Macaca mulatta: one gene and its partner. The protein of the gene in region 2 binds, or shares a complex with, the protein of the main gene of each other region. Links are inferred from orthologs where the notes say so. Each region holds a gene or a part of one and is shown on either strand. Other genes may lie near its edges.

The links. The genes of interacting proteins can lie anywhere in the genome.
Region 1: KANSL3 (region 2) and KANSL2 share a complex: the UniProt entries of both Homo sapiens proteins name them as parts of the NSL complex. The link is inferred for Macaca mulatta from reciprocal best matches to the Homo sapiens genes KANSL3 and KANSL2.

The regions. Positions count from the first base shown.
Region 1 is NC_133416.1:55,812,208-55,816,075, reverse strand, and holds the end of KANSL2 (KAT8 regulatory NSL complex subunit 2), read left to right. Parts: intron 1-293; exon of another isoform or gene 294-414; intron 415-800; coding exon 801-920; intron 921-1,342; exon of another isoform or gene 1,343-1,479; intron 1,480-1,690; coding exon 1,691-1,822; 3' UTR 1,823-2,455; downstream 2,456-3,868. UniProt on the Homo sapiens protein: Non-catalytic component of the NSL histone acetyltransferase complex, a multiprotein complex that mediates histone H4 acetylation at 'Lys-5'- and 'Lys-8' (H4K5ac and H4K8ac) at transcription start sites and promotes transcription initiation.
Region 2 is NC_133418.1:5,283,728-5,288,579, forward strand, and holds part of KANSL3 (KAT8 regulatory NSL complex subunit 3), read right to left. Parts: intron 2,582-4,852; exon of another isoform or gene 2,521-2,581; coding exon 2,350-2,520; intron 2,255-2,349; exon of another isoform or gene 2,114-2,254; intron 1-2,113. UniProt on the Homo sapiens protein: Non-catalytic component of the NSL histone acetyltransferase complex, a multiprotein complex that mediates histone H4 acetylation at 'Lys-5'- and 'Lys-8' (H4K5ac and H4K8ac) at transcription start sites and promotes transcription initiation.

The DNA of each region.
Region 1 (3,868 bases), on a different chromosome or scaffold from region 2:
CCTGGCCTCAAGTGATCCTCCCACTTCGGCTTCCCAAAGTGTTGGGATCACAGGCATGAGCCACTGTACCTGGCCATTTTTAAGTGTACAAGTCAGTGGTGGTACGAACATTTACCATGTTATACAGCTATCAATGTTTTCTGTTTCAGAACTTTTTCATCAGTCCAAACAGAAACTTTGTATTTTTTAAACAGTAACTCTCTCCTTTCCCTTTCCCCTGTTCCCTACTATTCTCCGTTCCTACTTCGTGTTTCTGTGAATTTTCCTGGACATTTTTTTTCTTTCCGAGACAGGGTCTGACTCTGCCACCCAGGTTGGAGTGCAGAGGCTCAATCTCGGCTCACTGCAGCCACTGTGTTCCGGGCTCAAGGGATCTTCCCACCTCAGCAGCCTCTGGAGTAGCTGGGACTACAGGTGTGTGCTGCTGCGCCTGGCTGATTTTTGCAGTTTTTGTAGAGACAGGATTTCACCATGTTGCCCAGGCTGGTCTTGAACTCCTGGGCTCAAGCGATCTGCCTACCTCGGCCTCCCAAAGTGCTGGGATTACAGGTGTGGTGGCCAGAATTGTGTTTTTTAATCCACTATATTGGTCTATGTTTTACACTTGGCAGCAAAAGCTCTCAGTGCTCTTGGATCTTGTTTCATTTGTTGGACGTTCTGGTAAAATTTTTTTTTGATCAAAGGTAGGCTAGGGTTGAGGGAGACAGCAGAGTATTGCTTTAAAGTTTGCTGAAAAACATACCACCTTTATTATTGTTTCCCTTGGTATTGCTGATGGGCTTTTCTCTCTTGTTTTCTAGGACTTGGATGTTGTGGGTGATGGTATGCAGTGTCCTCCTTCACCTTTGCTTTTTGATCCTTCACTAACCCTTGAAGATCATTTAGTCAAAGAAATTGCTGAAGACCCAGTGGATATTTTGGCAAGTGAAGAACAATCCCACCTGTTTCCCGCATGTAGAGACCTGGCCAGGCAGAGGGTTCCCTGCTGGATAGCATGTACTCCTGGAGGGGAGTGGGGTGTCATCACTAGTATAAAGACGCTCCACATGTCTCTCGCTCATTGAATACCATATAAGCAAAGCACTTTTAAAAATGCCCTACTTTGCTCCTGTATACCCTTGTTGCTGTAGTTCTCCAGATAGACTCTTAGAACACCTAATGGCCCCTGATCCTCATATCCCAGAGTAGGACATAAATTTATTTAAATAAAAGCTTGAGATAAGGAATCTAGGTAAACTGTACCTTCTGAGGGAGAGTTCAGCACTGAAATTGTTCTCATTATAGAATGACCAGTAAAGTAGTGTGATTTGAGTTCTGTCTGTGAACCTTGGGTAGAATTCCAGTGGCCCTGACTGAAAACCAGCAGTTGTACTGTAGCTGTTGGTTTCAAGCAGAGGCCTAAAGGACTGTCTTCCTATGGTCTGTTGGCTGTTCTGGGACCTCAGCAGGGAATGGCTGTTTCATTTGGAAGAAACAACCTACAGCTCTCCAACCCATTGGAAGAGGCTCAGGAGTAGGCTCTTCCAAGGGACAGGGATAGCTAATATAGGGAGGAGCATCTGTCCAGAATTAATTAATTTCTGTTGTATTTTTCTTATTGCTAGTATAAATGGCCACTGATAAGTCAGATTCATACTTCAGACCACAGTGAATGAATTTCTAACTGAAGTGCCTTTATTTCTTTTAACAGGGCCAGATGCAGATGGCTGGAGATGGGTGCAGATCCCAGGGATCTCGAAATTCTGAGAAAGCCTCTGCACCATTGTCTCAGAGTGGATTGGCTACTGCAAATGGGAAGCCAGAACCCACTTCTATTAGTTGATAGTTTGGGGAACCATTTTACTTTGGTGGATTTAAATTTCTCATTCTTCAAAGAAATATTTCTGATCATCTCTCACAAAACACAGGCAACCCAGACTATCTTGTTTTTCTTCTGGATTGAGTATTATAGTCAAAAGTAAAGCCAAATTTTGAGGACATGGACCAATACTTCTTAAGAGTTGTGGGTTTCTTCCCACTCAGGGCAAGGAAGAGAGATAATCCCTATCAAAGCTTCTGGGATTATTTGGTACTATACCTAAAAGGAAAGTGACATCTTTGTAATGGGATTTCCAAAGTCATGGATAGAAATCCACTTAAGTAGCTAGGTGGGAGCTGTCTTTGTGAGTAGTGTCTTTTAGATACTGATGGCCCTAATATCTGGTTATCTCTATCTAAAGACCTGCAGTTTAACTTTTCTTCACCTCTACTTAATTGGGCAATCTTTAACCTGTTTCCGTGGTGAACTCTGGCTTTTATCCTCTGAGAAAACAGCCCACAGGACTGGGTCCTCCTTATCCATCTTGCTTTTAACCTATGTAAATTTCTGTGGTTGCTATCTTATGTAAAATATAGTACAAATTTATTGTATATAGTTTCTATTAAATGTTAAAGAAAATGTTATGAAAATATCAAACAGTCACCTGAATTGAATGCATGTTTTGTTTGAGAATATAGTCTCTCTTTCGCGGTTTTAGGGACCTGTCTCTGATGGGAAAGGGAAGTTGGGGCAGATAATACTTCCATCCCAGGAAAAAATAAATCTTCAGTAGCTCATTTTGGTTTTGCTTTTAAGGAAGAAGTAAATGAAAAGGGGCAGGACTTATTAAAGCCAATCAGTTCCAAATATCTTCTTTCTACCCTTCCACTCTGTGTCCCCTACTCCCACTCCCATTTCTCACGATTAATGCCAATGTCATCTCTGCTAGGTGTGGTGGCTTACACCTGTAATCCCAGCACTTTGGGAGGCTGAGATAGGTGGATCACTTGAGCTCAGTACTTCCAGACCAGTCTGGGCAACATGGTGAGACCCTGTGTCTATATTTTCAAATTTTAAATAATTATTTAAAAAAACAATAATGCTCATGCCATCTCAAAATTCTCTAATGGTAGGAATATACTTAAAACATAAGAGAAATTGGGCCTGATGCTGGATCACTAAGATAGTAAGGTATTGTCAAGATTGTTTTGACACTGAATCTTAGAGCAGGGTTAAAATAGAAGTTCAGTTGGGGTTGAGGTACCTACACTAGAAATTGTCTATTTCTGTACTGCATTATGACAAGGAGGGCAAAAAATTACTTTAAGAACTGAAATGGGCACAGAATGGCTTACAGTTACACCATCATCTTAACTTTAATCATTTACATTCAGAGCATGGTCAGAAGTAACTCATAAAAGGTCCATCAGATGAACCCCTAGGGAGATTGCCTTTACTAGGTCTTCCAGTGATACTGTTTTTAAGTTTGTAGTTCCCACTGCTTTTTTGATTCCCTAGTTTAGTACTTTTTTTTTTTGAGACAGAGTCTGGCTCTGTCGCCTAGACGGGAGTGCAGTGGCTCAATCTTGGCTCACTGCAACCTCCATCTCCTACATTCAAATGATCCTCCTGCCTCAGCCTCCTGAGTAGCTGGGATTACAGGCATGCGCCACCGTGCCTGGTTAAATTTTGTATTTTTAGTAGAGATGGGGTTTTGCTATGTTGGCTGGGCTGGTCTCGAACTCCTCACCTCAGGTGATCTGCCTGCCTCAGCCTCCCAAAGTGCTAGAATTATAGGTGTGAGCCACCATGCCCAGCCTAGTGTAGTGCATTTTATACTTTATCCACAAAGACAAACATTTTATTTATGTGTTTCTTTATATTTGAGATGGGATCTCACTATGTCACCTGGCCTGGAGAACAGTGTCATGATTATAGTTCATTACGGTCTTGAACTGGGCTCAAGCCATTCCCCTGCCTCTCAGCCTCTTAAATCTGGGACTTGTGTGCCATCATGCCTAGCTAAGACAAACGTTACTTACACGGCTATGAGCTTGAACACGACTGCTC
Region 2 (4,852 bases):
CTGGAGTCAGACTGCTTGGTTTGAACAAACTCCTTCTCCATCACTTCCTAATTAAGGTTTCTTAAACACTCTGAGCTCAGTTTCTTCATCCTGTTAAGCAGAGATGAAGGGGGTTATACCTCCAAGCAGAGATGATGGGAGGACTAAGAGACAATGCATTTGAAGAGCCTGATACAATGTCTGGCACCTAGAAAGCACTCAACAAATGCTGGCTCCTTTTTGTTATTACCATCGTTGTTATTTCTATTTTTAACTGTAAAAACTGATAAATCCTTTTGCTGAATATACTGACTCTAACAATATTCCAGTAGTTGATCTTCATTCATAGCAGTTTAGTTTTCTTCTTTATCTGACGCTCAAAAGAGTTTCTTTTTTTTTTGAGACGGTGTTTCACTCTTGTTGCCCAGGCTGGAATGCAATGGCGTGATCTCAGCTCACCACAACCTCCGCCTCCCAGGTTCAAGCAATTCTCCTGCCTCAGCCTCCCAAGTAGCTGGAATTACAGGCATGATGCGCCACCACACCCGGCTACTTTTGTATTTTTAGCAGAGACAGAGTTCGTCCATGTTGGTCAGGCTGGTTTTGAACTCCCGACCTCAGGTGATCCACCCACCTCAGCCTCCCAAAGTGCTAGGATTACAGGTGTGAGAAAAGAGCTTCTTAAGGCACTAAATTAATTCCAATGCAAGACCCCAACCATGTTCTTCACAAGCTTTTTTCAACCAAGGTGCAGAACTGCTCCTCCCTCAACAGCTGCTGTTTTGATCACACAAGCACACCTGTTCAATCTCATTTCCAACTTCCAACCAGCTTCAGTAATCATGTCAATCACCTCAAACTTTCTACCCCTCTTTCTCTCTCTACATTAGAAAATAAGGGTTCTCTGAAATTGTGGAAAGTTACCACCTACCAACTCCTGATATAAGAAGTAACATTTCCTTATATATAGTAGATATATGGATACACAGACAAAAAGCCATCAACAAAATGTAAGTTGAAACCACAATGAGATCCCACTTTATACCCAGTAGAACGGTTATAATTTTTTTTAAAAAGAAGAAAATCAGTAAGTGTTGTCAAGGATGTGGAGAAACTAGAACCCTCATACACTGCTGGTAGGAATGTAAAATGGTATAGCCAATTTGGAAAACAGTCTGGCAATTCCTCAAAGGTTAAATACAGAGGTATCATATGACCCAACAAGTCCACTCCCAGGTATATAGCTAAGAGAATTAAAAACTTAGATCCACACAAAAACTTGTATGCAAATGTTCATAACAGCATTATTCACAATTGCCAAAAAATGAAAATAACCTAAATATCCATCAACTGATTAATAAATAAAATGTGGGCTATCCATACAATGTAATATCATTTGGCAATAAAAAGAATGAAGTGCTGATACACACAACCACATGGATGAACCTTGAAAATATTATGCGGGGTGAAAGAAGCCAGTAGGAAAAGACCACATATTGCATGATTCCGTTTACATGAAATGTTCAGAATAGGCAAATCTATAGAGACAAAGGTCAATTAGTGCTTCCTAGAGACCAGAGAAGCTAGGAGGAAATGGGGAGTGACTGTTTATGGGTATGAGGTTTCTTTCTGGGATGATGAAAATGTTTATCAAATTGATAGTGGTGATGAATATACAACTCTGACTATACTAAAAACCAATGACTGTACACATTAAATAGCTGAATTGTATGGCATATAAATATTCCCAAAAAGATATTACGTGATTAGGTAAATGTTTACCAAATGAACAGGGACAAATGACCAGGAGAGGAGTACTGAGTCCCCTGGGGCAGTAGAAAGCTTGGGAACAAAACTAGCCAATATACTCATGAAAACAGGCTTCAGTGTGCCCTCCATAGCCTGCAAATCTATTTTTAAAAGCCACTCAAACATCTGTTAGCTTTTCATGTGACTTCACAACTTTCATCATCCTAGTTATAAACCATTTAAACACAATACCTTACAAATGTACATTTCATTTTTTTGTAGTTTGGGTAACCCCTATATCATAACTTAAACAACAGAAGCTACTACAGAGCTAATCATATCTATCAAATTTAATTCACTTATTTATCCAACAAACATTATATACCTACTGTGTGCCAGACAACGTCCTAGTGTGAAGTATGCAAAGATGGCTGAGATGTAAGCCCTGCTCTCAAGAAGCTCACACACAGCATGGTGAACTGAGAGTTATAATGTGAGACTTTGGAGAACACTCTGACTTGTGTTGCTGCAAATGAAATAAGGTCCTAATAAGTGTTATTTCAATGAAGATGATACGAAATAATTACAGGGCAGTGACCATCCTCCTGATGAGCAGCCTACCTGTTGACATGCTCCTCCCAGTCCTCTGGTGGAGGAGGGGCATCTGCATCAGTCCTGGCAAAGATGACATGCCGTTCACACTCATTCATCACGCTGCGTGCCTTCTGATTGTCATAGAGTGGCATAGGCGTTGACATGACCGTCTCCACATCTATTGGCACATCTGATTCACTGTAAACAGGTGAGGAAATAGGACCGGGCCACACATACTTCACAGGTATTTAACAATCATCTGGTTGACAAAAAATGTATCTTTAATACAGTCAGCTTTAAATTATGTATAAGCACATTATATCCACAAGAAAATTTTGATCCAAAGTCATCTTTCCCACACTTGTCTAGATCTCTGCCTTCTCAGACACGATGGTATGTACTGGAAGAACACAAAGTCATTTTTTCAATGAGTCTATATAAAAAATGATAAACATCTTTTTTTTTTTTAAAGATAAATATGGGCCAGGTGCAGTGGCTCACACCTGTAATACCACCACTTTGTGAAGCCGAGGCAGGTGGATCGCTTGAACTCAGAAGTTCAAGACCAGCCTGGGCAACATGAGGAAACCCTGTCTCTACCAAAAATACAAAAATTAGCTGGGCATGTGGCACATGCCTGTGATCCCAGCACTAAGGAGGCTAAGGTGGGAGGACTGTTGGCACCTGGGAAGTCAAGGCTGCAGTGAGCCATGATTGCATCACTGCACTCCAGCCTGGGTGACAGAGCAAGACCTGGTCTCAAAAATAAATAAATAAATAAATAAATAAATAAATAAATAAATAATAAATACGGCCAGGCACAGCAATTCACACCTGTAATCCCAGCACTTTGGAAGGCTGAAGCAGGAGGATCACTTAAGCCCAGGAGTGAGCTGGTCTCAAAAAATAAATAAATAAATGACAAATATAGCTAGGCACAGTGATTCATACTTGTAATCCCAGCACTTTGGGAGGCTGAGGCAAGACTGCTTAAGCCCAAGAGTTCAAGACCAATTTGGCAACATGGCAAAACCCCGTCTCTACAACAAACACAAAAATTAGACAGGCATGGTGGTGTGTGCCTGCAGTCCCAGCCACTCAGGAAGCTGAGGTGGGAGGATGGCTTGCTTGAGCCCAGGAGGTTGAGGCTACAGTCAGCTGTGATCATGTCACTGCACTCCAGTCTGGGTGACAGAGCAAGACCCAGTCTCAAAAAAAAAAAAAAAAAAAGGACAATATATTCCATAAGCAAGTTGATTTGACTCTCAAACTAATTTTTTTTTTTTTTTTTTTTTGAGACGGAGTCTCGCTCTGTCAACCAGGCTGGAGTGCAGTGGCGCGATCTCGGCTCACTGCAAGCTCCGCCTCCCATGTTCAAGCAATTCTCCTGCCTCAGCCTACCAAGTAGCTGGGACCACAGGCACCTGCCACCTCGCTCGGCTAGTTTTTTGTATTTTTAATAGAGACGGGGTTTCACCGTGTTTGCCAGGATGGTCTCGATCTCCTGACCTCGTGATCTACCCATCTCAGCCTCCCAAAGTGCTAGGATTACAGGCGTGAGCCACCACGCCCGGCCTCAAACTAATATTTTTAAAAAATCACTTTCAATTTTTGTTTAGTAGGCTACAGCTCAGGAGTGGAATTAGAAGACCAGCGAGGCAGCCACTGCAGTTGACTGAGATAGGCCAGAAATCATGATAGCTTGTTTAGGGACGAGAACAGTACAAATGGAGAGAAGTGGCTAACAAGATGATTGCCTAGATACTGTCCAATACAGTAGTTACAAGCTACATACGATTACTTAAACTGAGGCAGACGGATCACGAGGTCAGATCAAGACCATCCTGGCTAACAGTGAAACTCCATCTCTACTAAAAATACAAAAAATTAGCCAGGCGTGGTGGCGGGCACCTGTAGTCCCAGCTACTCGGGACACTGAGGCAGGAGAATGGTGTGAACCCAGAAGGTGAGCTTGCAGTGAGACTGCGCCACTGCACTCCAGCCAGGGCAACAGAGTGAGACTCTGTCTCAAAAAAAAAAAAAAAAGAAATTACTGGGCACAAGGGCTCAGGCTTGTAATCCCAGCACTTTGGGAGGCCAAGGTGGCCAGAACGCTTGAGCCCACAAATTCAACAGTGTGGGCAACATAGTGCAAAAATACGGAAATTAGCTTGTGGTCCCAGCCACATGGGAGGCTGAGGTGGGAGGATCAACTGAGCCTGGGAGGCGGAGGTTGCAGTGAGCCAAGATCACACCACTGCACTCACTCCAGTCTGGGTGACAGAGACCTCGGCCCAAAAAAAAAAAAAAAAAAAAAAAAAAATTTTAAATAGAATTAAATATTCAGGCTGGGCACAGAGGCTTGCGCCTGTAACCCCAACATTTTGGGAGGCCAAGGCGGGTGGATCACCTGAGGTCAGGAGTTCGAGACAAGCTTGGCCAACATGGTAGAACCCCATCTCTACTAAAAATACAAAAAATAGCTGGGTGTGGTGGCACGTGCCTGTAGTCCCAGCTACTTGGGAGGCTG